Drosophila melanogaster: one gene and its partners. The gene in region 1 interacts genetically with each later gene. Each region holds a gene or a part of one and is shown in the gene's direction. Other genes may lie near its edges.

Region 1 (7,619 bases):
AAGGTAGCTTAGCACTGGGGTATTGTAACTACACAGAAAATGTTTTTATTTATAATTGATATTAGCGAGTATTGAGAAGAATTTATTTATATAGAAAGAAATATAAATGTTCCTTATTCCATTATTTTGATAATAATCAAAAACGGAATTTTTTAAAAGAATACACAGTTGCCTGGGTCATATGAAGAAAAAAATATAGGGTAACTGAAAATTAATTTGCTTTCTCAGAGTATTTCTAAATTTCTTTTTTAAATGAACTTATAATGGTTGTAAAATGAAATAATAAAGATGGTCTTTGTAGGTACATGGTATATCCTATTCGATAGGTTCTTGGCTCAGTTTGCTGGAGCGGAAACGCAGGCTTGGGGGCGAGTTGTCTGTGGCGGCGGCATGTGAAAATATTTCCCAAGGTGAACGCCACACACAAACACGACGCCGACCCACGGGGACGGAAAAAGGACCCAAATGCAAGGAGGCACTCGATTCCAGCTGAGACCGGGTCTGGTTTTGGGCCTGATCCTGGACCCGAATTGAATGATTTAGAGTCGCACAGTTGTCAAAGAGCAGCGATGCGTACGGACAGCATCCATGGGACCTTTCTTTCTGTGGGGAGGGCAGGAGCTAAAGCGGGACTGTTGCCCATCCCAATTGGAATGGGTGGTGTCCGGAGTGGGGCGCCAAGTATGCTTTTAAAACCGATTCATCCGTTTTCATGATATTTATTGCCGCTACATAATTGAGTGTAAAATTTTTTGGGGTTCGGCTTAACTTTGATATATCAAAGGTACGTTCACAAAGTAATTTTATTTATGTAAATACGTATAAATATTGAATACATAATTTAAAAGTGTATATAGACAGGTTTTATTGTCAAATATTTTAATGTTTTTGGAGGTTTGTGAGAAAATTAATAAAAATTATTTCTTAAATGTTCATGAATCCGCATACTAAATCTTAACTTTATAGATTTTTTAGTTACCGAAATCACGATGTTCATACGGACAGATATGGACAGTTGAATAGACAGAGGGACATGGTCAGCTCGGCTCAGAAAGTGATCGTCAATTTGTTATGGTCGGAAACGCTTCCCTATACCTGGTTCATACGTTTCAACGAATCTAGTCTACCCTTTTACTCTACGAGTAATGGTAACTATTATACAAAAATACATTATGTTAATTTCACATTATTAAATAATTATGCAATATGAGATTTTCATGAAGCCTTCTTTAACAAGTTTAAGTCTGAATGCTTTTCTGATGTGATTATTATTAAATAGCGTTATGAAAACAGCTTAATTTGCTTTGATAAACTCATATAATTGGAACCCCATTAAAATTCAATTAGGTGATGACTACATTTTAAATTTTTTGTTTCAGTAAAAATATATTTGAATATACCAAAGAACGCCATAAAACACCCATAATGGAGACTCCAAGCAAGTACGACATTTCAAAAATTGCATTAACATCCGGTAGAATTTTTGCCGCTGGCGAACTTGCAGTTCCAACTGGAATTTTCAGCACCACTGTTCCACCAAGAGAATTCTCCGCACTCAGAAAGGCAAAAATTCTCAACTGGAGCTCACTGGCAGCGCCGTCAGCAGAGCAGCCGACGACTGCGTAAATTTATGTGAGAAATGGCAATTGAAAAAAGAGCAGTGCGGCGCGCTCACGACACACATAAAGCAAAATAATGGCACATTCGTCACACTTAACGCGGCCGCATCTGGCCGTCTCGCTCGCACCCGCGTCTGCCCCTCTCGCTCGCACTCTCGCTCTCTGCCTGCGCCGCCATCCATCTTGTGCGTTTGTGTGCCGCGCTTGTGTGTGTGCGGTCTCTGAGAATGCTTTATGAGTGTGCGTCTGTGGCGGACTCCTCCCTGTTTACGACGCTGGCAGCGCCGCAAGCAGAAGCAGCGGCTGCAAAAATTCGGCCAACTTGTGTTGTTGTTCTTTTTCCGCTCCACAACAGCTGTGGGAGAGCGAGAGCGTAGGAGAAAGAGAGAGAGTGAGAGCGATGCTGAATTGTGATTGTGTGCGTGTGAGTGATGGCCTGCATGTGTGCGTGCATGTGATTTGTTGTTGGCGCGCTTCGATATAAACTCGGCCATGATGGTTTTGCCGTCGGCAAGTGGATGTTTGGATGCCATACTCCCCGGTTCCAAGTACCGTATTCCGGGTTCCATAATTCACGGCGGCCATCATTCTCCCGATTATCGAATGTTAGCCGATAATGAGATATCAAAACGTCTAGATATGACTTCATCGGGCAAATCACATTTGCTATACAAAACTGTTAATTATGTATGGTTGTGGTATATTTACAAAAATAATTATTAAAAGATACGTTTATACGTTTATATACCATATCTATAAGCGTTAATTAAGAACATCTAAAAAAGATAAAAAATCGAGACAATCGAAATCAAAAACGTTTTTTACTCTTATAAGTACTTAAGCAGCATAACAATTTACAATTATTTTACATAATAGGCAAACAGAAACTTTCGACCTTTCCATTGCAAAACCCTATTTTAGATTATTTTCACTGGTAAAATAAATAAATAAATGAGTTTGTAAATTAATGATTCAGTCTGAAGTAATCGACGGATTGATACTTTAAAAACTAAAAAGTCAACACAAGGCCTTTAGAGAACCGTATTTGTAAATTGTACAATTATTTTAATTGATTTTATAGAAGGTGGTCTCCCACAAAATGGTAGATTTGACCGCAAAAATTTAAAAACAAGTAAACTGAAGATGTACACATCTTTCACATCGTTACGCTATTTTAAGAAATTAAAAGCAAATGAATTGATTGACCATATAGTCCAGAAGAATGGTTAAAAAGGTATAAAGATATTAAGTTATAAAGATATAGTAATCGCTCTTCGAAATAAAAGTAGAAACTACTCGATAATGCCCAGACAATCGAATTTTAAATAGTTTCGATTTTAGAGAAACTGAAAAGAGCACTTAAGAGAAAGAAACTTAAAATTGAACCTTGCAAAAAATTGTATTTAATAAACCAAAATGAATGAAACAAATTTCTTAAAAACCTAATAAAAAAGTGAAATCAAATATACCAACCAAAATAAATCTGGGAACTGAATAATCGAAAATAACTGGATGTGCATCATAAGATCTTCTTTTGAAGACTGACTACAGTTTGCAGCTCAGCGAGCTCGGGCCGGCAACTCAAGCCGGTCAACTCAAGTCAGGCGCCAATTCGCTGCTCCCACTCGCTCAGCTCTCTCAGTCACTCAAAATGGCAACGAGAGCAGAACGGTTCTTTTGCAAAATACTTTATGACCGGAGCAGAAGCAGAATCGGACCTCTGTCGCGGTCGCAGTCGCTGCCAGTGCTGACGGCGCTGTTGCGGCCGACGCTGACGCACATAAATAAAACGCTCTCTTTCGCTCACGAGTTTCTTATAAGACTTTATTTATATACTGCGCTGCCACCGCTGACTGCGCGCCGCCGCCGCCGACTGCGCTGGATTAATAAGGAGTTCTCGCTGGGATTTTCACATGTATATGCTTTGAATTGAATGCTTTATGGGTTTAGTTTGATAGGAGTCGTAAAGAAATCAACATCACACAACAAAGCACTCGAGGACCCGTCCGTGTTCCGTTGACTTAGCCCACGTGCGACTGTATGTGTGTGTGTGCGAGAGGGATCCCAGCAGCATAACGGTATTCGGTGCCCCGTATTCCGTAGTCGCTATAGCGGCCAATATCTTGGGGCTGGGCTCTCGGAGCTGAACTGAACTGAACTAAACTGAACTGAACTATTCGCATTCGTATTCGCTCGCTCTCCGTCGTCGCGACCGCTCTCTTATCCCAATTGTCAGCCCGCTAAGATCATAAAGGCCGTAAAAATAATCATAACAATAATCGTAAAAAATTAGAACCGCAATCAGTCGCACACTGTCCATCGCATGGCGCAGATCGTCATAAACCCATTATTATAATAATAACCGTAATCGTAACCGTAATCGTAATTGTAATCGCAGGCGCCATCGCATAAACAGCAAACAAAAACACCGTCAGAGAAATTGGAATTGAACTTCGCGCGCGTTTCTTTTTATGATGTTCGAGTGTCTGGCAGGTGTCTGGATTCAAATTAAAATTCATCCACATATTGTGCAATACTACTAATGGATCTGGGCTGACTGTGCTGCAAATGAGCTAGAGTTCAAATTTATCAAGCCAAATCCTACTACCTAAGTGTTTATCTATTCTTAAAAACGCATCGTGCACCGAAAACTCGAATCTGTACAACAACGTTTTCTAGTCCCCCGTAAATCGAGCAATATCTACACACTAGCAACAAACAAAAGCTGAAGCTTTCAACTCAAACCACAACAAATTCAACAGAAATAAAACGTAGACAGCCAAAATAACACAAAAAAAAAATAAATAATAAAAAACAAAATACATAAAACGGAAAAGAATAAGGAGCGGAAAAAGTTTCGATTCCACTGCGGGCAAACTTTTTATTTTGGCGCACGTGCAAGCTACCGTTAGCTGAGAATTCCAAAAGCCAGCAGGATTGAAGGATAAGCGCACGTTATTGGATTTAAGAGGTAAGTGCCAGGGCTCGACTTTTCAATTTCCTCACCTTCTTCACTGAAATCAAAATGGTTATATGTTTCTTTTATTGGCCAATTGGGATTAAAATGTCTTTATTCACAAAAATGGTTAATGCGTTTTGAAAACAATGCTTAAATTGATTATAATTATATTTTACTACAAATTTTATGTTATTTCTGCCTATCCAAACTATTTCAAATATTCAATTTAATAATAATCGTAACTGAAAGTGAAGAAAAAATCTTAACTTTAAATTGTAGTAAAAAATCAATATTGTTAAATAATTGCAAAGGTAATTGTACATGTAATGTAATGTCATCTATGCATACCGTCAAAGAATTATTCGATTGTCACTAAAAATTATATATAATTTTTAAACAAAAATGATTGTGAGGTTCTCTTAACATTATTTTTGAAAAAATGGTTGACATAAGTATATTATGTTACTATTAGCTGTCCATTAAATGTTTGAATAAAATCAATCATTTCAATGAAGCTTACATGGATTAGAATATCAGTCTATGTATATGCCGACGGAAACTTTATACATTTCCAAATACTTGTCTAAATATGTGGAAGTTTTGACATTAATGACTCTGTACAAAGAATAGCGCATCTGTTTCTCGATGTGCAGTGGGCAAGGTATAAGTTTTTTGCCCGAACTCAGATTCAACACTTCATAACTCAAAGGGCGTTTTTCGGAAGCTACAGCCAGGTCATCACTCATTTGGCCTGCAAACTGCAAACTGTTGACAGGCTTATTAGCCATTTGCATAAATTTGCAAAGTGGGAGGAGGGGTGGTGGGATGCTTTCAGGAATCCCGGGAGTTGAAGCTGGAAAACTGAAAACGGAGCTCCGAACTTAACTGGCCACGAGTAATGGGCTCTTTGAACTTGGAATTCGTTTTTGAATTATTGCGCATATCCTGGGCAACATAGTTTCACTTCCGAATGGTGGGAAAGGGCAGCCATTTCTCTCTCAGACACACACGCAAACACATTCATACACACACACACACACACGCACATAGTTGGACGAACAGGACACTCTCGGGTTCTCCGCATAGAAAATTTATGCGGCCATTGTTGCAGTGCATTGTCCTTGTTGTTGCTGATTTTGTTGTTGTCCTAGTTGTCTGGCCTTTGCATATTTGTCGTCCTCTCTGTCTGTCGCTCGCTACCTTTTACCTTTCTCTCTTTCTCCATTCCCGCTCTCTCATTGCACTTGCGCCCCACAGAGGTGCGGAATTTATTCGTAATTTAATAAACATTTAAAAATCTGTTCCATAATTTGGAAAGTATCTCTAGCGATCTGTCCAAAAGGGCTTTAATGAACTTATCCTGGCTTTTACTTTCAGCCTGCTTATCGTTAACACATTTCCATTTGCATTTTTGCCAGCTTCGATTTTTGCAAAATCAAATAGATGGCATCAAATGAAATTATTTTCTCATAATTTATTGATTTTATCAGCTGGAAATGTTACACAGCTGACAAAATCATAAACTCCGTTCTGTTTGCCCGGCAAAAACTTTTATGATTTATGGCCGAGTGACAGACAGAAAAAACACCGATGCAATTGGGAGAAATGGGGGGAAAATATTCAAAATTTGTATGAAAACGCACATTTCCCTAGACTATTTTTGTTTAAGTCCTACAATTCTTTACTAACATATTTAGACCCTTATACATGAGCAACCACTTCCTTTTAAACGGATTCTTAATCAAGTTCACACTCATGGCAAAGCAGCAAAAAGATTTATACATCAGCACACCAATGGCGACAACTCTTTTGTAAAAACATTAATCACGACCTCTGAGATTCGGCCGAAAGCCCAAAACTTAGCAACAAAAGTAAACGAAATTGTTGTTAATAAAACGAATCCAACAAAAAGCTTCAACGAAAACAGCCGACCACCACAAAGAAAACTTGTTTGACTTGCCTTTGAAATTAAAATTATATTTAAGCCCCCATTGATAGATGGCGACATGAGTCGGTTAATTAATCATATGCAAGCTCAGTAAATTTAAATAAAACAAAAACCGCTCAAATAAAAACCTAAATTTCACACAATAAAGTCTCTAGACAAACAAAGGACCAGAAACGGCAAAAACAGCGTTTTTTTTTTCATTTTCAAATCACCAAAAATATTATCGACTTCATCGGGTCCACAACATTTTAAGGCCCTCGGGAACTGAACTTTGATAAGCCGCCGGAAATGATGAACCTTGTGTAATTTGTTTATCGTTTTACCAATGGGACTACAAACTTGGCATTAATTGCTTTCTCTGAAAAGTATTTATCAAGACTGTGCTTACGTTATTACTTAAATTTTACTTTTATTTAACAATCCATTATTGATATAGATTACAAAAGTTTCTTGCGACACATTTACATATACAATTTACACATCCAATTTACTTCCATACTTCCATAAAATACAAATAATAACATTATAAAAAAGAGAAGCAGTCAACTGTTTTAAATTAAATAAATTATTTAAAATATATTTATATTTTCGGAATTTAAATACACTGGCTTCCATTACAACTGTGAAAAAAAGTTATTCTTGAAAAAGAGAAATAGATGTAACTGCTGAAAATCGGACAAAATCGGCGGTCAAAGCCAACTAAAACTCAATCCAATTTTGTTGGGCGGCAATTTGCAGTGACTGCAATTAGTTTTGGCCACGGAAAAAAGGGAACAAATGGGAGAAAGTCTTACTATTTTATTTTTTAGCCCAAATGCAGTCAGCGGCTCGAACTGTTTTATATATACTTGTTTTTATAGGTTCGTGGTAGGAAAACAGGGACGAAAATCGGGGTGAGGTGCAGGGAACCGCGGAGGGTGCAGGGTCGGGGGCCAGAAACCCAGCGGGAAGCGCTCGCAGTGACATTGCGCCGAAGCGGGTGACAATGATTTATGGCCAAGAGATACGCGACAAGGAACGCAAAAACTCAAAACTCGAAAACTAAAAAACACCAATCGCACACCAAAAACGCAAAACGCTCTCCGAAAGCGGC
Region 2 (7,767 bases), on another chromosome or scaffold:
TAAAAATAAAACCCTTGACTAGTTGGTCATGGCACTGGCATCGGAAATTGCGGCTAAAAAGTTTGTTCATTCCTACAAAAATTTGGAAATTCAGACAGTGCGTTTCATAAACGTATCTGTTCTTTCTGATACAAATAATTACATAATTGTGAGAAGCTTTCGCCTTTATTAGCCTATTTTAAATTGCATTTGGTTGCATTTCTACATTTGTTTATTCAATTTTGAACTAACTTATCGATTTGAAACGTGTTGTACGTTTGTTTTGCGACTTCAAATAGATATTTCATTTTGTTCTGGTGTCGCAACGATTGGAATGTGGAATGTCTGCGCAAATGGTTGATATTATATTTTCGTTTTCTTCTCGACCGAATTCTTTTGTTTATTTGCCCGATCGCCCGCTCAGCGGAACGTAATAATTCAATTTTGCACTTTAATGTGCAGGAAATGGACATGATTTTTATGTGTAATTTATTTATTTCATTTTTGTCATAAACGCAGACGAATGCGAAATTGAAGCAATTTTCCGGTTGCTCCTTGGCCGCTTCGCAGTATGTAAGCAATTTATTGTAATCCAGCTTAATCTGCTTAAAGCCGCCACAACAATGAAGGCAGCATTTTCACAATGCCAATGTCATTCGGTCTTCCTATAATTCTCACTTGGCGATCATGCGGCTCACTTAAAAATCTGGCTGACTGAAAAAAGCAGTCTCACGTGCCCTCCAATCACCATTGATTAACCATTAATGGAAATTCACAATCAACTGCCATTGCTATTCAAATTCAAATTCAAATTTGAGCAATGGCACGTTTTTTTTTCGGGATTTCTTTACGGCACACAGAGTTTTTGTATAGAGATAAATTATCTGATGCATATCTGACAGATTGTCCACCAATTGAATTCTCGTTGGCTTTCTCTATATAGCTCAATTGGTTCGTTTACTCGAAATTAAAGCATGGAAAATGGGTCTAGACAAGCCAAGAAACCAACTTTTCATACGCCATAAACCATGCATACTCTAATGTTTCTAGCGAGTTTTGAATATATCGATCTATAATGAGATGGCATTTAAAAATTCATTCGAGTTTAGTAAGGTTTTTAGAAGGTCTGGTGCTAATTATATGTTTTTTCTATTTATAACCAGCTTTATTCACCATCTTTTCAACAATTTTAGAAACAGGAAACCATAAAAGTTCCATATTAAGTGTGTTCTTAGTCATGTCCGCCCAATTTGTCCAGCTTTCAACACCCTCACACGATGAATTATATAATTTCGAGCCGCCAAATTCAAATGTTCATATACTTTTATTGCTGGACGGTGTGCTTGTGTGTCTGCCCCCTAACTAATACTAATGCAGTTGCTACCCCCAGTTGGGGGGATGCCATAAAAAGGCCACCAATCGCCGTACGTGCCAAATCGACTATAGAATATATAAAATGCCATATGCAAAATGCAAATGCAAAAACGAGAACGAACTGCAAACATGCATAACAGTATTGTAAGTTATGTATTTCAGAATCCCTCTCGAATCAAAACAATTGAAACACCAACAAGACAAATATCAATAACGAACGCCTTGTGGGCGTTGGATGGCCACCCGGGAGCGGAGGCGTGGCAATAGCATCCCCAGCATTGCTACCTCATGCAACAAAAACAACGTGCCCGCAGGTTTCCCAACGAGTCTATAAATAGCCCGCCACATGAGGATTGCACAATTGCATATCACTTTATAGAATACATAACAATAAAAAAAATAGTGACTACCACAATGGAAACCTCCGCTGGCGGTAAATGCAATTTAATCAGCCCCATTCGTTGTTGTTGTTTTTTATCTCTGGGGTGTTGGATATCTAATTCTTGGGGCGGGCGCCAAATAAACTTACAATTAGCATTGCCCATGAAAACGCTGGGCAAACAATAAAAAGCTTTAACTCACAATTTGCATTTCTAGGCGATAAGCGTAAGGAGAAACAAATTTATTAAGTACTATACAAACAAACATGCACATTAGGTAAGCAAAAAATAATAATAATAAAAAAACAATAGTATAATAATTCTAAAGATCTGTTAATCACGTTTAAGCATTTCGTGTTTGCTTTCGCAATAATTTTATTATTCACCAAAATGGATCGAATATAACTGCCACTTGAAACTGCCGCTCAAAAACAAAAAAAAAAAAAATTCTGATAGCCGCTAATTGATGAAGAAAGTGTGTGAAGCGCGAAATGAAAACTATTTTCGTTTTCCATACGCTGCTTGCTGGCCACAATTCATTAACTTCTGTCAGGAGATCATAAATTAAAATTAATCTAAGACAATTTAAGCAGGCTGCAACAGGCTGATAAAAACTCGGGTCGAGCGCCGTTTGAAAAGCGATAAGCGAAACCCATTGAAGTCACGCGAATGGCGACAAAGTCGGCGAAATGGTAAAAATGGAAAATGGAAAACCATCGATTGCGGTGGCCAACAAAAGTGGGCGGTAGGTGGTCGAAATTGGCTTAGCTATGGCCATGAACAAATATTATTTTTAATATTGCGACAGAAAAGCAGGAAGAAGAGGTCAAAGAACAACAATTGGCGGAAATCGAATGTGTGAAGTGAACGGGAAGGAAATGGCCAAAACACTCGTGCACACATACACTTACTCTTACGCTTACTCACTCAAAGTTACACTTTTAATGTATCACATATATAATCAGACTTATTTCCCCCACTTTTTTTCAGTGCATTCCCAGCTGCATGTTGGTTTCTGCGCTAAGAAGTGCAGCTGTCCTGATTTGCAGAAAAGGTCAGCAAACAACAAGCGATTCCCTCGAGTGGCCTGACTTGCCTAAATTTAGCTCACTCTTTTCATTCTTTCTGTTCCAATTAAACCGAATTAATCGCCAAAATCCACGCGCAATTACCCCCACTTACCCTTTTTTTACCATCAACCAAAGAATCTACACCCCCCACCGCCGCCTTTTCCTAATGATATTTTAACGCACTTGAGCTGGTTTCTATGCAAATATTGGGCGCTACTTAATGGCCAAACAAATGAGTTGGGCAAATAACATCGGGAATCGGAGTTACTAATTTTTACCTTGATGCTCCACATTTTCAATGGACTCGTCGCACATTTTGAGGATCCGTAGATTCGCAGCTCTTGATTTGTTTTGGTTTTTTTTTGGTGGTAGTGTTAAATGCCAGCGATTTTGCGAACCCTCAGAATTTAAACAGACGACGCGCTTCTTTAGAATTTCCCGATTTTCGCAGCGAGGTGATTTAAATCAGAATCCAAAAACGACGAAAAACAAAATAAACAATAGTGGTGGTGCGTCGGTAGATTTCTTGTGGCTATCGATGTTAGGCGCAGAGTCGATAGTCGCTTCTGCCGAAATGGCGCTTTTGTTCACTGTTCTAACAGAAATGTTAATTTACAATAGGGATATTTTACAATCAGTTGGATTTTTAAAAATTAAATATAAGTTTGTGGAATCGAATTTTTCGCCTATTAGGACGAAAATTAAGCAATTTATTTTTAAAGTAAGCCCACAATATGCTGCGACAAACTGTTAATATAGATCGACTGTTAACCAATTAAACTCCAACTTTCATCGTATTAAATTTCATAGAAAATCTGAAACACAGCTGTTAGCCATATATTAATGTTTAAATATATATCATTTATTTTTTTAACATATGCTTTAGAAGTTTTTAAGTCTTGTTTAAACAAATAAATTACCATTTCAAAAGACAAACTTACGAGTGCTCACCAACGAAAGCTGTTGGCTACACAACAATTGCTGGCTTATTTAGCACATGACCACCAGCAATGCTGCCACTCTGCCACCGCCAGCCTTGCCAGACCCCGCAAAGTATATATTTTTACAAAATGGTGGCTTCTTCGCGGAGAAATTCGTAGTGGCGATTTTTAACAAAAAGCACGCATCTTGGCCAGCCAATTATTGTAATTTGCTGGCGAAAACATTCGCAACCACGCTGGCTGCGCCGTGTGGCTGAAAATTCCGCGAAAAAGCAACCGAAAATCGCACAAGAACCCAGTGAAAATAACTGAAAGCGAAGGCAGGCAATAAAAAAAACGCAAGCAAGCAACCAAAGTGCGTGCCTGTGTGTGTGTGTGTTCGAGTGTACGTCTGTGTGCGCTGCTCTCTGTCTGTGCCTGTGTGTGCGAGTGTGCCTCTCTGTCAGTGTGTGTGTGCGCAAAGTGTATGCAAAAAAAGAAGAAGAGAAACGAAGAAGAGCATTAAAAAAAAGCGTACGACGAGTTTCACGCGCGCCCAACAACAAAAACACCAGAAAGCAGCAACAGCAACAACAACAAAATCCAACAACACTTGGCAGCAGCGGCAGCAATAAAAAAAAAAGCAACAACAAGCAAGCAGCGAAACGTAAGGAAAAATCTACAACAAGTGTGCGAAAATTAATTATTACTAAGTGTGTCACTAATTTAATTTGGAATCGCAGTTGCGCAGCGTGCAAATCATTCAAATTTATGTGAAGTCTTTCGGGCAGCAAAAAACAAAAAACAAAAAAATAACGAAAAACAGTAAAACAGAGAAAACAGTGGCGTATCCCCCCCCCCCCCCCCGCAGTTTTTGAAAGGGTGACCGACGGATGGGTGGGTGTTTGAATCCAGTCTATTATGAACTTTTTGGGGTAGAACAATGCAAACACGAACGAAGGCTCAACAAATTTGCTGAAAAGGAATCGCAAGCGCAGCAGCAGCAACAACAAAGCAAAAATCCAAGCGTCAGCAGCACGGGCAGCAACTAAAACAACAAAAACAGGCCAAGCAACAACAGCAGCAACCCACCACCGTTGTTGCCCCTTTGTTATTGTTGTTGTTGTTGTTGTTATCGTCGGCGTCACCACCGACGCGACGCAACGCGACGCTCTTGCGGCCAGCGCACCCACCACCCCCCAAGGATGCTCCTGCCTCGGACTAACCCCATTCCTGTAAAGCCCCCCCCCCCCCACACCGCCCTTCCCTGTTCCTGTGACCGCTCCTGCTGGCCGTGCTTCTTCTTCTTCTTCTTCCACTCAGTCAATTGCTGTTGCTGACGTTGTCGGAAAAATGTGTCTTGTTGCCTTTTTGCTGGCTGATAAATAAGCTAAAATATGTACTTACCCACTATTAATGCTAGAGAAGTGTTTGGAATTGTATTTATTGGCAATAGATTATAAAAAATATCGCTATAACTGGCGTTATTCCCCGTACTAATAGTACTATTGATATGGACTACTACGACTTACTTAGATATGTCATCTTGGTACTAAAGATTTTCTGATAGCTATTGTTATTCAATATTATACAGTCCAAATAGATAGATAGATTGATTATTATTATTACAGATGTTTTGAACATAGGTCTGCCTGGTTTACATTGTTTATAAAATTTAATAAGGAAAGGATCAAAGAATATGGGTCACATTATTATGTAATTAAAAGTTCTCAACTCAAAACCAGGTACATAGGATTTCAACTATGCTATGCAAATAGCTAACGTATAAAATTGCCAAGTTCTATGGCCTCATTTGGCGACTGCTTTTGGTAGTAGTATCGCTAGTGGGGCATTGTTTTTTCGCAGGGCGCTCCTTGCGCCCCAGCTGCTCAATTCTTCTGTTTGGTTCTTTCATTTTCTTTTTCTTTCGCTTAATCATCTCCATCGTCTCGGCTCTCACCTACGTCATCTCTTCGCCTTCCAGCTGTGTTTGTGCAAATTAACCGAAATATACATTTCCGGCTACTCGCTGCCTCCTCGCTGAGCAACAACTACAAAAACAACAACACCAATAACAACAGCAGGAACAACAATATCAAGAACAACAGGAGCAAAGCAACAAGAACCACCACGACCGCCGCCCACCCCCTTTGAAAATCCATCGACACAGCACCACATCACCATCGTCGTCATCATCATCATCATCCTCAGCAACTTGGAGTCTGGAATCTGGAGACGGAGACCGTAGACCGGAGTTACTTTGCCGCCTGCTGCTGGAGAGAGGAGCATCTTCGTGCGGGACGCCTCGACGATACACAACCCCGACTACGGATTCATGGTGAGCCAAGACATCTGTTCGAGCCCGGCGCACACATTTAATTATAATTATTTGTTTGCTTAATTCGATACTTCACGCTGGCCCCCGTCTCATGTGTCACATCCCCTCGATGGGGTTGCTTGTTCATTGTGCCGAAGGGTTTCCACTCGGCTAATGGAGGAAACTATTTTCCAATGGTATCCCAAAGCAATTAGAAAACCGGGGGGCGCGTGCCCCTAATCCGTTGCTTTGCTATTGTCGCTCATATTCGGATTTGTGGTGTTCATTTTGTGGGCTGGTGGTATTTAGGGGGAATTGCGATTAGATCGATGATAAGGCTTACACATACCCTAAACCCACTGAAACAGATCTTTATCGCCGCACTTGTATACTGCTAATGAGTTGCCTTGTAGGCCAATTAGTACACCCTTGTTCGGAATGAAAAAAAAAAGGGTTGACCGGGATCAGACAGTTTAGAAACTCTTTAGCGCATTGTTGGAAAATATTCCACTTGTTAATAACTATATGAATCTATCAAAACTAGTTTTGGTTGTCCTCTATATGTTTATCAATTTAAATAAAGATAATATTGATTAGCTGCCATTTTGTATTTATAGTGTCATCGTTTTATGGCCACATCTAGTTAAATAGATTAATTTGTATTGTAGCTATTGTAGGTCACTTGTTATACAAGCAATATGGTGCAGGATTAAATCAGAGCTAATGAGGGATTACCAGGTCATATGATACGCAATTTTACGCATTGTTCATGGGGGATTTACGGATCTCTTTATCTCTTCCAATGAAGTGCCATGGTTTAACTTGCTTTTAGCCAAGTGAAATTCGAGGCAGTTAGTTCTTGGAAAACGGAGATTGATTTCAAGGAAATTCCCAGACAATTTGCACCGCTTGCCGCCTTGCTTATCTTCGAAACCCACACCCTGCCCATTTCCACATTTCCATTTGCCCGGCACGCCCGCTTATCTGCACCCACCAACCCAAAATCCACGAAGAGTGCGGCGGCGAGGCCATCTGATTAGAGACGCATTAAAAGGCTGGAGTGTTTAATTAATAAATAACGTGCTAATAATGCATTTAATAAAAAGGCAAGACGAGTGCCGCCAACGGAAACTTAAGGCGCACAAATAACACGAATATTTCAGAAACACAAATACCAAAAAAAAAAAAAAAAAACAAAAGTGCTGTTGGGAAATGGATGAGTTCCCTCGCGGTTTTCCGGCTCCTCTGGTTTTGGTACGGTTTTATATTTTGTGTTTGGCTTTTATTTCTTTTTTTTTGTATCTCTGGTATGTTACACAGTTGCTGGTCGCCTTTGATGTCGGGGTTTTGTGCGCGCTTTCATATTTTATTATTAGTCATTTGGCTTATTTATAATGTGCCGTTAAAGTTTAACTTTATTAATCTGTTTTGTTGCGCTTTTAATTTATAAGTGCTGCTTATCTGATTGAAAAGTCCGTCCGTCTATCCGCGCACACTTGACTCGAGTGTGTCGATTTATTGATGTCGATTAGAAGTAAACGGAAGGTTTTCCTCATTCAGCCTCGGAGTTCTCGCTCTGTGCTCTGTCCAATTACATAACCGATTTAATTAGCATTGCTGACTGGGCAGCCAAGCGGCCTGATCTAAGCCATCCCCACGAACAAAGCTAAACCTTGGACCTAGTGGTGTGTACGTGAGATAAGCTCGTTCGGTGGTAATTGGTCAAT
Region 3 (7,608 bases), about 11 Mb from region 1:
TTTTTCAGCAGACCACTGGTAGCTACACAGAAAGACCAAATTTGTACAATTTACGAAATAAAAATAACCATAAAAATATAATTTTAAAATTGAAGAAACAATTATACTTTTATATTATATTGTATTTAATTTTACAAAAATTTGATTTTGTTAATTATGTAAATATGAAAGTTTTTTATGCAGTTGTTTTCAGTGTAGAGCGATTAACCGTAACTTATATTCACAGAGAGCGGACAAGAACACTTTCACCCTTTACGCCATTTTGAAATTGCCGAGATATTCAATTTATATCACTAAACGTACATATGTAACCAACCTTTTTCGGGTTTCTTAGAAGATTCAGTGGAAGTGGCCAGAGGTGCAGGAGTCTGCAAATCAGGAACTTCATCAAAACGATTTTGGCGCACAGAAAATGCTGCCGCCTGCAACTCGCTCAGTTGCGTCACAATAAGTAGCAACAAAATAAATAAAATGCGACTCATTATGCGTTTAATGAAACATTTGTTGGCTTATACTTAAAAAAGAATCGACAAGCTCAACCTAATCGTGTTAAATTGAACTTAAAATGCCGCCATTTTGCACTCGATACCAGGAATGCTCGATATCACAGCAAGTCGAAAGCAGTGTACTGTAATTCTCGTACGTGTGCTGTTAATGTCAGTAACATTTTACTGTTAAGCGCAACTTCTCTTATTAGCAAATTGTGCAAGCAGTTCAAAAAATAAAAATGTTCAATATAGAATTTCATTAATATTATAAAAAAATAAACAAATATTTTTTTAGTTGATATCCTTGGCAAAAAATATTTTTAAAACCTATGAGTAAAAATCCGGAAGCCAGTAAATCGAAAACCTAGTGTTCTACCAAAATAAATTTAATAAATTTTAACAATGTTTGTGACAATGATCAATGCATAGGGCGACTATTGATATTTAGAGTTTCACAAAAATTAAAATGTATTGCATCAATTAAAATTAATAAAAGAATTTGTTTTTGTGGATTAATTACGTTGATGTTGTTTACGTCTATTTTAAAATTGCTTATGCCGGTAGTTTTGTATGGAATCGATAATAAGCAAACCAAAAATCACGAATATATCGATGTTTAAACTCGCTGTAGTTGCATAGTTCTGCCACTCTAAATTCAAGTGGTTTGTTAACGGGGGTATAAACTTTCAAAATTGTATTTACTCTCTTATAACTTACCAAAATTTTATTATTATTATATTATTGCAATTATTGCAATTTTGCAATTTACCTTAAAAACTTTAAATTGACGTATTTCTAAAACGAAAGCGCTGGCCACGAATAAGGCTTTCTAGTTTTTATAACTTTTACATCTTCACAAACTTTTACGTGCTTTTATTCGAAAAAAATGGAAAATTTTAGCACGCCGTTTAATTTGAGTTAAGTTTCCGTTTAAAATACCGCAATAAAGATGGCGTCCCAGAGTAGCGAGAAATCGATATCGATGCCAACTCATTTTTGCGTCACACTCAAATATCGCTAATTCGCCAGCTATTGATTACCATATATATTTAAAAAGCGAACCAGAACGTAAAATAAATATTCATTGAAGTCCAATAAATAAAAATAGTATAAAATATGGATAAAGCGATAAAATTTCGTGCTAGAGCTATCGGGGGCTATCGAAACGAGCACCGATAATGTATCGCAGTGCCAAATACTCGTACGTATCGATACTATCGTGCGTGCTACCCGCTCTAATCTTGTACAGGCTCGCTTCTTCGTCATGCTGCGAATTTGTTCGAAAAATAAGTGAAATACAGCGCATTAATAGTGAAAAGTATGTGCAGCCTGTGCAGGGCCCAACTGGCGATTAGCCGCGTGTGATTGTGGCCGCCGTATCAGCGTTTTGGCAGCGCCCAGCCTGGCGAAAAACCATCGAAAAAAAGAAGAGAAAAGAACGCCAGGCGCAGACAGACAAGACTTGCATACACTACTACTTGAATCGTTTCATTTCGTTCCGTTCGTATACCGAGTTTGCTGCCCTGTCCCTGTCTTCTCACGCGAGTTCGTTTTTAGTATATATAGCCAGTCTGTGGACGGTCGTCAATGCGTGAATATTCTTCTATGTGTAAGTGGTGTGCGTGTATGTAGATTTCTGGTTAAGAAAAGCCCCAAAAACCAAAGCGCCCCGCAAAATATATATTGAGTCTTCTTGGCCCAACAACAAATCTGCCGCCGGACTTTCGCCCGAGGGCGAGTGAAAAATTCAGTTTCTCTCCTCTCGACGATGCACTTTGGAGGCTGTGTGAGTGTGTGTGCGAGTGAGTGCGTGTGTGTATACATATGCAAATGATTGGATGTCGAATCCTTGCATCATCATCATCTTCATAAACACTTGGCGAAAAACCGCAGGAAAACGCAAGCAGCCGAACAAAAAAAGAGAGCCTCTCAAGACAACGGCAGCGGCCAAAAGTGAACGCGCAACAAACGCGGCCAAGCAGGCGCGGCAATTATTTATAAATCTTAAGCGTTAGCCCCCCTCTCTCTCCCACTCACGAAAAGAAAATAAGTTAAACAATTGTGAGATGATGCCCCCTCGTCCATTCCATTCCAGTGCTGTGTAAACGCGAAAAATCGGCATAGAAAATAATTACGAAAAAATCATTACTGTGCTGCCCGTTTCATTCGTTTCACACAGAAACTAATAAAGCGAGCAAGGGAGAGAGTGAGCGAGCGAGCGAGAGCGCCATATGCCTTCAGCCTGGATGGCGAGCAAGTGCAAGTGAGACGGAAAGGGATACGGCGTGTGCGTGTATAGCCGCCAAATGTGAAAAGAGAGAGCGAGAGCGCCAACGAGAGTGGATGCGCTCAAACTGCGAGAGCGGTTGCGGCAGGGTTGTCAACGCACTACGATTTGCCCACCGTACGCGGCGGAAAATAAATTGTTGTGGTATTGGTGCTGCCTGTTCGAGTGAGCATGTGTGTGCGTGTGTTAGTAGCGGACTTTTCAATACACAACAGCCCACGAACGAGTACAAATTATTTATGTTTAACCCGCTCGATTTAGGCCCAGTGATATAGGACTGCCCCCTTTAATAAGCCAGACCCCCTTTGCCAAATGCTAATCCCCCGTTTTTGATAACTTGCAGCTAACATAACCTCAAACTCGCCGCTGCAGTCGTCGTCATCATCAGCGTCAGCGTTGTTGTTGTTGGTGGTTACCGGTGTTCCATCAGTAGCCGCCACACATCTGGGAAAATCCGATCCGGAAAATCTGGGAGATCGGGAGCAGCGCAGCCAGAAGCCGATGAGCAGCCATGAATGAGAAAATAAAGTCGCCGCAAACACAGCAGCAGCAGCAAGGTGGCGCTCCCGCCCCTGCTGCCACGCCCCCATCGGCTGGAGCGGCTCCTGGTGCCGCTACACCGCCAACCTCGGGCCCGCCCACACCCAACAACAACAGCAACAACGGTAGCGATCCCAGCATCCAGCAGCAACAACAAAATGTTGCCCCACATCCATACGGCGCACCACCGCCCCCAGGATCTGGTCCTGGAGGACCACCAGGACCGGACCCAGCTGCAGTCATGCACTATCATCATCTGCACCAGCAGCAACAGCAGCATCCGCCACCACCCCATATGCAGCAACAGCAGCACCACGGCGGACCTGCACCACCACCGCCCGGAGGAGCACCTGAGCATGCGCCCGGTGTCAAGGAGGAGTACACTCACTTGCCGCCGCCTCATCCACATCCGGCGTATGGTCGCTACCACGCCGATCCCAACATGGATCCATATCGCTATGGCCAGCCGCTGCCAGGTGGAAAGCCTCCACAACAACAACAGCCACATCCTCAACAGCAACCCCCGCAGCAACCGGGGCCCGGTGGCTCACCTAATCGTCCGCCCCAGCAGCGCTACATACCCGGTCAGCCTCCGCAGGGACCCACGCCAACGTTAAACTCTCTGCTTCAGTCCTCGAATCCGCCGCCTCCGCCGCAGCATCGCTACGCCAACACCTACGATCCCCAGCAGGCGGCCGCTTCGGCGGCAGCGGCAGCGGCGGCTCAGCAACAGCAGGCCGGTGGACCCCCTCCACCAGGACATGGACCGCCGCCACCGCAGCACCAGCCATCGCCGTACGGAGGGCAACAGGGCGGCTGGGCACCGCCACCAAGGCCCTACAGTCCGCAACTGGGACCGTCACAGCAGTACAGGACACCACCACCGGTAAGTGATCAAAAAGGGGATATTTGGGGATAACAAGGATAACATGCTTTTTTGGGATAGAAAAGTTGTAAATTGAAAGGTATATTTAGTTGCGTTCACGAGAAATCATTGCAAGTCCATAAAAATGTTTGAAAGTTCTGTAGATACAAGATATTGTGGAAGATACATCTAAAAGTCAAGAGTATTCGGCTTAAATAGTCTCCGAACTTGAAATAGTTGTAAATACTTTGTTCCGGTGTAATACGTTGTTTAGGAATGCCTTGAAGTATTTACCAAAAGCAGTGTTTTTATGATTCGTTTTAATTCACAGCTTCCGAAAATAGAAAATGCGGTTGTCTTTTCAAGTTATAGTATCTTATTTCATATTTATTCTCAATATTGCGGGGGCAACCTTCGGCTTTAAAGTAACGAAAAACTGGATGGTAGCTTAAACGCCTTCCAGGATAGAAACTTAATGAAAAGGACACAATAAATGTTGTGTATTCTGTAACAAAATAACCATTTTCCGAAAAGAATATTAAATGATCTAGTTGTTGCACCAGAAATGGTGTCATTGTGCCTAAAGGCAACCTCTTAAAGACTGAATACCAAGAATCTTATCGCCAGGGGTTTCCTTATGTATTTTTTTTTTATTTTAGAGCTGTCTTGACATTGACACTGATTTTGATTCCATCGACCCCAAACCCACACACACTTACTTACTGGAGTATTTCCATGTGCAGGCCTCCACGGCATGTGTTTCATGCTGTTGTTGGTGCGGTTGTCGCTGGTGGCTTTGTGCTAGCTATCTCCCTCCCCCAATCTCCTACCCCACCGCACTCCACACACCCACTGCCCACTCATTCCATGGAGAGGGGCTCGTCACGTTTTGTGCACATGTATTCGTTTGGGAGTGTGTGTGTATGTGTGTGTGCGTGGGAGGGAGGCTGCAATATTTACTGTTACTTTTTAGGGTTTCGTCTTGGTCGCACTTCATTCAGTTCACTGAGGATTTGCCAAGTCCCACTCGAAGGAAAGAATATAAAAAAGGGGCAGAAGCGGCAGACACACTGACACACATAACGTAAAAACATTGTACTCAGATTCCGCGCCTTTTTCGCCCGCCCCTCCCACTTAGTTCCCTGCTCCTCCTCCTCCTGTAGATACCCCCATCCCCTTGAAAATTCGCTGTTTAAGTGCCGGGTGTTGTTGTGCTTTAGTTGTTGTTACTGGGCGAAGCCGGGTGAGAGTGAGGGAGACGGACAGCAGAGAACCGGCACTTGCCGCCGCAAAACAATAACAACAAAAGGCCGCACCGCAACGGTAAAATAAGAAGACAAAGAAGAAGAAGCAGCGGAATAACAAGAAAGAGTTTCGTACACAAAAATGTTGAGGTATTCATTCACATTCTTTAGGGTTTTTAGGGTTTCCTGTCCCCTTCATGTCAACATTATCGACGGCCTGTTGGCCTCGTGTCTGATTGGAATAATTTTAAAGCTTATCATTGCATTGTTAGTGTTAAACGTTAAAAGAAAGAAGTGGATACTACTACTCAAAACTTGCAAAAGATGGAAAGGGGTTTGTTACACAGTTAATGAAGTAGTTATTTCTTACTGTTTTCTTGACATGACTATAATTATAGACAACAAAAAACATATATCAAACAGTAATATAGTAATGAGTCAAGCCATTTTTATCAGTCGATATAACTCCATAGTATTAAAAGCGAATGTAAAAAAGTGTTATACGGAACATAAAGATACCGTAAAAAGTCGCTCGTGTGAAAACATACAATCCTATACAATTTAACTAATGGACACACCGACCCACAACCCACACCTTATACGTTTTAATGGATAAACAGAAATATAATGTTTTTGGTTGGTTATGAACTTGTAGTACCTGTAGATTTTTTTCACAGTTCGTTTTGTGTTTTACTCTTTGTAATCCCTGATATCAAGAATTTGCCTATCAGTTGTGTCAAGCGATAATGCGCTTGAAGTTGGTGTTTGGTTTGGTTTGCTTGGTTTGTTGGCCCCAATGGAGAAGCACGTGATATGATTTTTTCACGTTTTGAATTAAACGGAAACCGGTTAATTGTTTTATTAGTGGGGTAGTGTGGTAGTTAGGGGGCTAACCCGCCGCAGCCCAACAAACTCATATTTGTGGCCCGATTCCGTGTCTATGTAGTCATCGGTCTGCCTGCTTCTGGCATATTTGATGTCACTGCAGTAGGATCGATTGTTTTTGTACTTCATGAATGGTTTGGTTTGGTGTGGTGTGGTGCGGATGTAGATGCGATGTCTCGGAATGGGAGTCAACGAACTTTTATGTCGACGATTAGACAGAGAAATATAAACAAATCTATGTGTGAGCACACAAATCAAAGCGATCCGCTAGGGTTAGACGTGTGCGATGCGGTGCGATGCGATGCGATGTGATGCGACCTTCGAGAGCTTTTGTTTATGGCTCAGTGTTGGTGTGTCTCTATGTGTAGGTAGCTAGTGCGAAATAAAAAAAAAAGGCTGAAAAAGAGTCTAGAAGCGCTGCTATCCAATGTCATGTGTTTGTTTGATTGTTTGCCTCGCTCGGCGGGCTTGTGTGCATAAACAAAGAAATCAAATTGCCGGCAGAGTGTGACTTACGCGTGCATGCAATAAATACATATACTCGCATACATACTTACGTATCAAACATACATCGGTACAACCGAAACGGCAGCAGCAGCAGTAGCAACAACAACAATGGCCAAGTAGGCACCGTAATCAAAGGCAATAACAGAGAAACTTGTTGTTGTCACAGCTGATTCTCCCTCCCTCTCTCTGTTTTGGGGTAGGAGAAGCAGAAGAAGAAGGGACGGTGGTGGAGGTGGGGTTAGCCGGCAAGCTGTGGAGGAAGCAGAAACCAAAACAAAATAAAAATGAAAATCAAGTGAAACCGCGCACAGTCAAAAGAGAGGAGGTGGAGGTGTAGAAGTGGAAGGGGGGGGAGGAGGGCTCGACTATGATGACATGCCTTGGCTCACTCACTCTACCCCTCTCTTTCTTCGAGTGCAAGTGTGCTAGATGCATCCCGTTATGCTCCCCATACATCCTTGACGTTCCGTTTGATTCTCCTTTGAGGTCAACAGGTGCAAGGCGGGCAACAACACTTTTGGGCATATATTAAAGAGCTTAAAGGCCTCTTTTCCGCCTCTTTTTTTTTTGGTGGTACTTCCCCTTCATGTTTGTTATTTTTTGGGGAAAGGCAAAAGGCATTGCATTAACCGCTCTTTTCGTTTGTGTCTTTGTTGTTCCTGTTTGGCCCTCTTCCGACTCTACCTCCACCTCCTCCGGCGCTTTGTGTTTTTTTTATTTCGAGAGAGTTGATGTCTGTGTGCCGGCTTGTTTATGCCGTTTCTTCGCATGTATGGGTTGGCCTGCTTGTAT
Region 4 (7,824 bases), 3.6 Mb from region 1:
TTGTTGTGCATATTTCTAAATTCAAATAACTTACAGTAATAAAAATTTTAGGAATATTCTTGTTTCTTTCTGTGTAGAGGGTGTGAGTCGCAATAGATCAGGTAGATTTATGAACAAGTGTCCTAAGCCTTTTATGGGCCTTCTCAAGCGTTGAAAGTCACAAAAAAATTAGTAGGCAAAAGGAAGATTCATGGAAGATCAAGTAACTGCCAAAACAGGTAACTATGCAGGTAAACTGGTAAATTCCGTGTTAAAAATACAGCTCCTTTTGACAGGACCTCTGATTTTATATGAATTGTATAATTTTTGGCTTAGGATAAATGAATTGTAGGCGGTAATCGGAATCAAAATTCGCGCGCTTCTTAACAGAAATCAGTTTTTTATGTATTAAATTAAAAAATATCGGTGCAAAAAACTAAAAATATAACAATAAAACCTGAATAAATAAATATATGCAATAACATAAGTATACAGACTAAAGGAACAGTCAAACAATATTAAAACGATTACATCCTACAAATTATATGAATAAATCACGATTTGAACGACTATATACCTTATAAATAAAAACAGTGAACATACAACTCTAAATACTGAAGATCCTTAAACTCCAATGACTCTCAAATCATGTTACATGCCTAGTCTTGCAATGGCTGCACAACTGTGAAACAGCTGTAAAACGCGTTGCCATAAAACACTTAGGGCCTCTCGCTCCAACGCAACTGCAACGCATGCCATCTCGCTCGGCGCTCTCTCCCGCGCTGTTCGGCGAATTCAGACAAAAACAAACCATTAAAAGCGCGGCGAAAAGAGCGCGTGCACTTGTCTGTCAAGATTATGGCGGTTTCAGTCACTTTGTTGCTGTTTCTGTGTGTTCGATGTTTTTTTTTCGTATTTCGCAGCGACGGCGAAGAAGAAGAAGAGCGCCGACGGCAACTCCTATTTTTCTTCATGTGCCATTTTTTTGTTTTTGGCTTTCTGTTTCGGTTCTTGCTTGAGTGAGTGAGCGGGAGCAAGCGAGATGGCGCCACATCAAGTTGATATCGTGTCGTCGTCTTCATCTTTTGCTGTCGCTCGTCGTTTGCGTTTGATAAATTGCGTTTATAAGAAAGAGATGAATTGTCATGCACACAACACACACTTCTCTGCCGGCGTCGACGGCGACGCCGACTGCACTGCCGGCGTTAACATCACTGTAGGTGTTCGCAAGTGTGTGCCTGTGTGTGTGCGTGCGTGAGTGTTTAAATCATATTGGCTGGCCCCCCAATTGGTGTGAGTGCACGTGTATGGGTAAGCTTTCCCTCTCTGCCCTCTCTTTCGCTCGTCTGGGATTGGAAGTTTCCAAATGCAATTTTCCTTGAGGTTTTCCCGAGTCGGTTCCTTTTCGGCTTTCTTCTTTCATTTTTTTTTCGCTCACTGGGTGGAGGCCCAGCCCCCTAAATTCGCTTCCTGCCCCTCCTTTTGTACACCCCCCCCCCCACCGTTCGCTCTTCTCGCTTCTTGATTATTTTCCTTTTTCGGTGATTTAAATTTCATGGTCCCTTCAATTTGGCAAAGTTCTAAATATTAAATTAAATTCCTGCTTCATTTGCAAAAATTCTTGAGCTTTTCTGGAGCTGTCCGCTTTATTTGCATTCTTCGAAATTTAAGTTATCTGTTCTTATTAAATTTCATCTGAAAACATTTTTTCACTCAGTATTATTCTACGAACTAAGTATATTCTATTCCTCAATTAGCGCTTCTCAGAAAACCTCGAGTTTTCTTAAACAAATAAACTTCATTTGTCTAACATTTCGTTGGGATCCTTGAACTTTGCTACCGCGTCGATCGATCTATTCGAATTTAACTTGGTCACCGATAAGTCTGAAAAGTTCCCACACTTAAGCGTTTCACTAATTTATTGCACTTAATTGATTCGATTTTATGTGATTTTTGTTTCACATAAATTACTTGGCTTTTGGCCCGAGCAGACGCACAAAAGTTGGACGTCTGAAAAAGCCAAAAGAAAGCGAGTCCCGAAACGAAAAAAGGGAAAAAGCAACCGCAAATCAATCAAAGTCTCATAAATTTGTCAAAGTGTTGACAAGACGCAGAAACAGAGCACCTATATCATACATAGTTCCCAAGATTTTGGGGGTTTGGGATTTCGGGATGAAATGGCAACCAGATTAAGTGCAACATCATCTTTTTGACCAGCGAAAACAGACACGGGAAATCCTTTTGGCGAGCGTCGGAAAACAAACAAGGCTATTTTTCATTTTCCTAAAAACGCCGGCCAAATCGCCCCGTCTCTCTCGCTCGCCAGTATCCCCGTCTCTTTCGGCGTAATGGCAACTGCAGCGCCAAGCCAAAAATACGCTGGTGAAAAATGGCCTGGGAATATGTGTTAACTGCTTTTTAAACTGCCACGAGGACGACGACACGACAGTAACAATAACAGCAACAATAGACAGGATTTCGGACTGAATACGAAGATTGGCATACCTTGTTACCCTGTAGTTATTGGTAAAACAAATTGGACTAATTTATTTTAGTTTAAAATGTAAAAAAAAATTTGTACAATCACGCCGAAGATATCACAATTGACTGAAAATTGCCCAAACATACTTGTCATCAAAAAACTTGTTCAAATAATGCAAAAGCCCGTTTCCTCAATTTTTTATTTTTGGTTTGAGATGTAACACCATTTGTACAGGGTATATAAAAAACCAAATGAGAGTAGATTCGCCAAACAGGAGCGCAGAATGACCTGCAAAATATGCAATTTTCAGCGAATGTTTTTGACAATTTATCGCCGTTCCATTTGTTGTTGTTCCCCAAGAAGTAAGAAAGAGAGAGAGAGGAGAAACTCGAACAGCTGTTTGTTGTTGTCAGGATCGCATATCCTTCCAAAGTGGCCAGATCACCGTTACAAGCCAAAAGGACGCAATAAAGGAACTGCAGCGAAAAGTTTGTTTTTGTCGTCCACGTTTCTTCTTCTTCTCCTTCAAGTTTCTTCTCTTTTTTGCCGCTTTTCTTCGAAGGCGTTGCCTATTCGGGCAAAAGTGTGTGTGTGCGAGTGTGTGTGGGGGCGCCAAAAGAGAGCGAAAAGTGAGCGAAAGCTGAAGCTGATGGACAACTGAAGCTTTCTCGCTGCCTTTCAACCTGTAAAGGTGCGGCGAAAAAGAGCCAAGCTGCCAACTGCCACTCACTCAAGCGAAAATAACAAATGGGATTGGTTTTTGCTGATTTTCGACGCCGACGCCGGCAGAGGGGCGAAAAACCCATAAGCCGTCTCCTTTTGGCCAAAGCCAAATAAATTTCAAACGCGGCGAACATTGCGCAAAAAGAGGCGAAAACTGAGAAAGAGAAAGAGATAGAACACCGCTGTACGGTACTGTATATGCATGTGAATGACAAGTGTGTGTATGACAGAAGAGGCGTACCAACAAATCAGTCATCGTCGCCCAGGATGCGAGCGCGCCTGCGCAGGCAATTCGCCGGAGCGTTCGCATAAACCATATATTCCTCTCGCTTGCACTCGCTGAGTTATGGCCAAGAGCGAGTTAATGGCACAATTGTTGCATCTGAACAGAGCGGGGCAGCTGCATGATTGACAATCATGCCGCACCGCTTGCACCCGTTGACTTTGCTGTTGTTTGTCGCTCAGCGCTCTCTTCGCTGTTAGTTAACAGCGATGTTAGGAGTGGAAACACGTCCGACTGTAGCGTAAATTCAAACGTATCTGGCGGGTTGGTTTTTCGATGAAATATCTTTCATCCGCACAGTGTATTTTTGACTGCGAAGCGCGTACGACGTGTGTCTGTGTTGCGTTGCGTTCGAATAAAAAAGAGAAGAAAAGCGAAAAAGTGTTGCCGTCGGTGAAGTTTATTATTATTATGATTATTATTATTGCCCGTTAACCACGCGTTTTGCCATCAATCAACAAATAAACAACACAAGAAACACTTTGGAAATCGCGCGCGTTTTTCCATCGCGCGAACAAAACAATCACGTTTTTTAGTGTGTTTTTCAATCACAATCGAAAAGTTCTCCTTTTCACAATTGAAGGCCAAAATAAATACTGTTATTTGAGGGCCGCGGAGGGAATTTCTTTCAACGAGGGGATCCCGCCGATCCCCCCGCAAAAACAAAGAAACACGCAAATTGCCGTCGCAAAAACACAACAGAATATATTGCATTATATATTAACAATATAATTTGTTCATCTCTAGTAACGTAGTATGTAGAAGCAGCTGTGATAAATAGTGCGCATATTATACGAAAAAAGCAAAAAGAGTATACGACAAACAAATAAAAATTAAAAGCAACCACAACTACTACTATAAAAATAACCAAGGAAAAGGCAAGGAAACTCGCAAAACGAGAGAGAGAGGAAAAGGGAAAAAACGCCATGGATTTATGACAACAACAAATGCAACCCAGTAACAAATGATGTTGCAGCAACTACTACAATACACGAGTATACCAAGAACATCAACAACAACAACTGCAACGGCAACCAACAACAAATTGTATACGATTTTTATAAACCAAACAAATGCTATGTAAATAATTATTATAACAAACACACAAGTAAAAAAAACATTCAAAACCAGATCTCCCGCTCTAGAAAACAAACAACAAACGCGCGCGTAACAAAAACGACAACATCAACAATACAACAAGTATACAAACGTAATAATAATACATAAAATCTAAACAAATGTGCCTGTGTTAAAAAAAAAGAAAGCAAAATCAAGAAGCAAAGCGTTCAAAAAGCAAAGGCTTCCCAATACATGAAAAAAGTGCAAAACATATATAAAAATCCAAGAAAATAACATCCAAAACTGAAGAACTGGAAAAGCCAAGAGTAAATCTAAGGACTCCACACGGGCAGCTACAGTAGAGCTTCCCTAAAACCGAAGCAGTTGCAGCGGCGGAGCGGGACGTCGGTCAGTGTGTTGCGCCCCCATTTGTTGTTCCTACTGTAAAAAGTGGCACAAATCGGGTTAGACGTCGCTCCCAGAGCATTAATGGCTCAGCCCAGGGTAAGTAGATCCACCAAAGTTCACTTTCTAAATATATAGAATCCATATAGAATGGTCCCCCGAGAGTGTTGTTATCCTTAAACAAGTTCCGACGGCTAAAAAACAAATGGGGTTCAGTCAATTTGTAATCAAGTCAAGTGGTGCCGACGGCACTTACAGGTTGTAGTTTATGATGATATTGTAACAGTTTTCATATCATGGATATGTTACCAGTGTAACCAAATCAATCTATAACCAGAATACGCAAAAAGTTTTAAAAATCTTCAGATATTAGTTAATCCAACTTCATGAAGTAGATCTATATAAATATTTCTTATACATGGCCTCCAAGCTTCTCCAATTTAACCCATTACAATCAATTCAATGGGGAATAGTTCTTGTTTATTAGAGCCCTATCAAAATGAATTTTAACTAAGCGTTTCTGAGTGTGTGTGTGTGTGTGTGCTTATGTGTATTGGAATAGGACAGAAATCACATTTGATTTATGCGGGTCATTTTCTGGTACAAGTTTATATAATTAACTGAGTCTGCAGCTAGACCATTTTATTTGGGAAGTGATGGAAATCAAAGATCGCCGAAATAGTGATAGATATTGTATTACATTAAACAACGGTTTACTCTAGAAAATCATTAAATAATGTTTATTGAAAATTGTTAGCTTTTCCCCTTAACTTTTCATTTTCACACCGCAATAGTTGATTCGATTTTTGTTTAAACATGGCTGGGACCTTCACCTCCGAAAAGCCCCCCCGTTGCATAGCCACAATGATTCCACCATTTTCCATCACGTTTATAAGGCATAAATTCTCGCCTCGCTTTTTAAACGGAGTAATAATTTTTACAATCCATCTGGATCGTAAATTATATGCTAATCAGGTGACCGGCAGTCTCCGCTCGCCCGCTCTTCAAAAAAATATTATTACCAAATCGCAGTTAGACTTTATCAATTGATTATCATGGACATGCGAAGTGAACTTGATTTTTATTTAACGGAGCAAAAAGACCTCAAACATGGCCGTTTGCCTGTGTGTGTGCTACCAATTAGCGTGTGTGTGTGTGTGTGTGTTACCAAAAGGTGGGCCATGCTCTTTGGGAGCATTAAAAAAATCAGAAAGAAATATAAAAAATAAAAATGGATATGGAAATGGAAATGGAGATGGGAAAAAAGAAATGCCCGCGGGAATTTTGTGTGTGTCTGCGTTACTGGCGAATAAATTTACGCCTGTGGTTTAATACCCGATTCTGTGCCGAATTTACCTCTTTGAATCCCCTTTTTCGTAATTCTCCTGCGGCTCTTTACCCGAATCGCGCCATTTCAATTCCATCAAATGAATTTTTCGACTCGGGGCGAGAGATATATGTATGTATGTACGAGTATGTGAATATATACGGGTGTTCTGTCTGTTTGTGTGCATTTGATGCATATAATTTTATTGCACATTTTGCACATTGCCAGCGGCCCAAAAGCGATCCATTCAGTTTATGCCGCTTCGTGGTTTTATTATTTACAATTTTATTTTTACCATTTTCCATGACTTTGCGCTGCTATAATTTGCGAAAAATGGCGGGAAGCAATTTTCGCGGGTTCTTCTCAAACCAAACTGCACATGCATTTTTATATATATTTAATTTGATTATTTTATGCCATCGAAACGGAGAGCAAACGAGAGAAACAGTGAGAAAGAGCGGCCGTGTAAAATGTGCAAAAAAAAAAAATGTGCAATTGCAATTTGTATAAAAATGTGCATTGCAGCTGCTGCCATTCTCCCCCGCGCCCCCTCACTTTTCCCACCATTTTTCAGTTCGTGTGCCATTTCAAACGCCTGCGAAATGCAGCACAAAAATTGTTTTGGTGTTATTTTAATTTAAAGGTTAACCGCAGCGTAATTTGTGGCATAAAATATAATTCGTCTATCGTGTGCTCGCCTCTCCCACTGTGTTTGTTCAGCTATTTTTTGTATTTCTCGTTCGCTTTAGAAATAAAATCAAAATCAAAATAGAAAAGATCAAGGAGAGCGGAGCAGCGGAAAATGCCACAGTCGATTCTGTGGTTTACTTTAGTGGCCAGCAGCATTTGCAAAAGTTGATGGAAACATTCGGAATTCGACTTAGGTGGCAAACTAAAACATTTTTTTTGTTGAGCCAGGAAAAAAATTCTAGTTATATATGTATATATTATCAGTATATAACAATGGTCCGCTGAAATGTGTACTTTCAAATATACCAACTGCTGAACTCATTCCATTAATAACAATAAATTGAATTTGAAATTCCCTATGTTACAAAATAACATTCGTCAGCAAAGTATAGTAATATTTTTTCCCGCCTAGTCCTTATCATATTGCAATAGTTTAATCTTTGCCAGCGACCAACCTTCGTCGCGAATTCTTTTCTAATTAAGTGAGCAATTCTCCAGTCTTCCCAGCCTCACCGCATGACTCATGGGCTCCCCACTTACCCCCTTTGCCACGACCCCCCGTTTATCAGGAGATTTCAGATATATCTTGGCTTTCGGTTGAGAATCCGCTCGGCAGACGCTTCACATGCCAGCGAAAATTGAGCGAATAGGAAGCGTCAGGCTGAGAGGAATATTTATAAACAAATTACATATGCATATTTCTGCAAGGGGTGCGCAGGGGGAGGGGGTCATAAGACTCTATATGGGGCCTCCACTTCTCCCACTTTCCACCGATGTTGTTTTTCGTGTGCTAAAGAGCTTCATGTTTAATGATCAAATTGCGTGCCTGATTCTTGGGTCGGTGCCTGCTGGTGCTATATAGTTGTTGCCTTTGTT

Evidence for each region.
Region 2: of Antp (region 1) and Gug, changing one suppresses a phenotype caused by changing the other (phenotypic suppression), as found in Drosophila melanogaster (one study listed by BioGRID).
Region 3: of Antp (region 1) and osa, changing one suppresses a phenotype caused by changing the other (phenotypic suppression), as found in Drosophila melanogaster (2 studies listed by BioGRID).
Region 4: of Antp (region 1) and hth, changing one suppresses a phenotype caused by changing the other (phenotypic suppression), as found in Drosophila melanogaster (one study listed by BioGRID).

Annotation. Positions count from the first base shown.
Region 1 is NT_033777.3:6,995,177-7,002,795, reverse strand, and holds the start of Antp (antennapedia), read left to right. Parts: upstream 1-3,567; 5' UTR 3,568-4,590; intron 4,591-7,619. UniProt on the Drosophila melanogaster protein: Sequence-specific transcription factor which is part of a developmental regulatory system that regulates segmental identity in the mesothorax. Provides cells with specific positional identities on the anterior-posterior axis.
Region 2 is NT_037436.4:8,446,068-8,453,834, forward strand, and holds the start of Gug (grunge), read left to right. Parts: upstream 1-3,854; 5' UTR 3,855-4,390; intron 4,391-4,580; exon of another isoform or gene 4,581-4,620; intron 4,621-5,707; 5' UTR 5,708-6,061; intron 6,062-7,767. Other genes in the region: CG6983 (uncharacterized protein), read right to left, coding at 3,082-3,118.
Region 3 is NT_033777.3:17,712,445-17,720,052, reverse strand, and holds the start of osa (osa), read left to right. Parts: upstream 1-1,702; 5' UTR 1,703-2,097; intron 2,098-3,118; 5' UTR 3,119-3,286; coding exon 3,287-4,201; intron 4,202-7,608. Other genes in the region: Pxt (Peroxinectin-like), read right to left, coding at 1-22, 317-482. UniProt on the Drosophila melanogaster protein: Trithorax group (trxG) protein required for embryonic segmentation, development of the notum and wing margin, and photoreceptor differentiation. Required for the activation of genes such as Antp, Ubx and Eve.
Region 4 is NT_033777.3:10,610,191-10,618,014, reverse strand, and holds the start of hth (homothorax), read left to right. Parts: upstream 1-3,738; 5' UTR 3,739-5,015; coding exon 5,016-5,030; intron 5,031-7,824. UniProt on the Drosophila melanogaster protein: All isoforms are required for patterning of the embryonic cuticle. Acts with exd to delimit the eye field and prevent inappropriate eye development.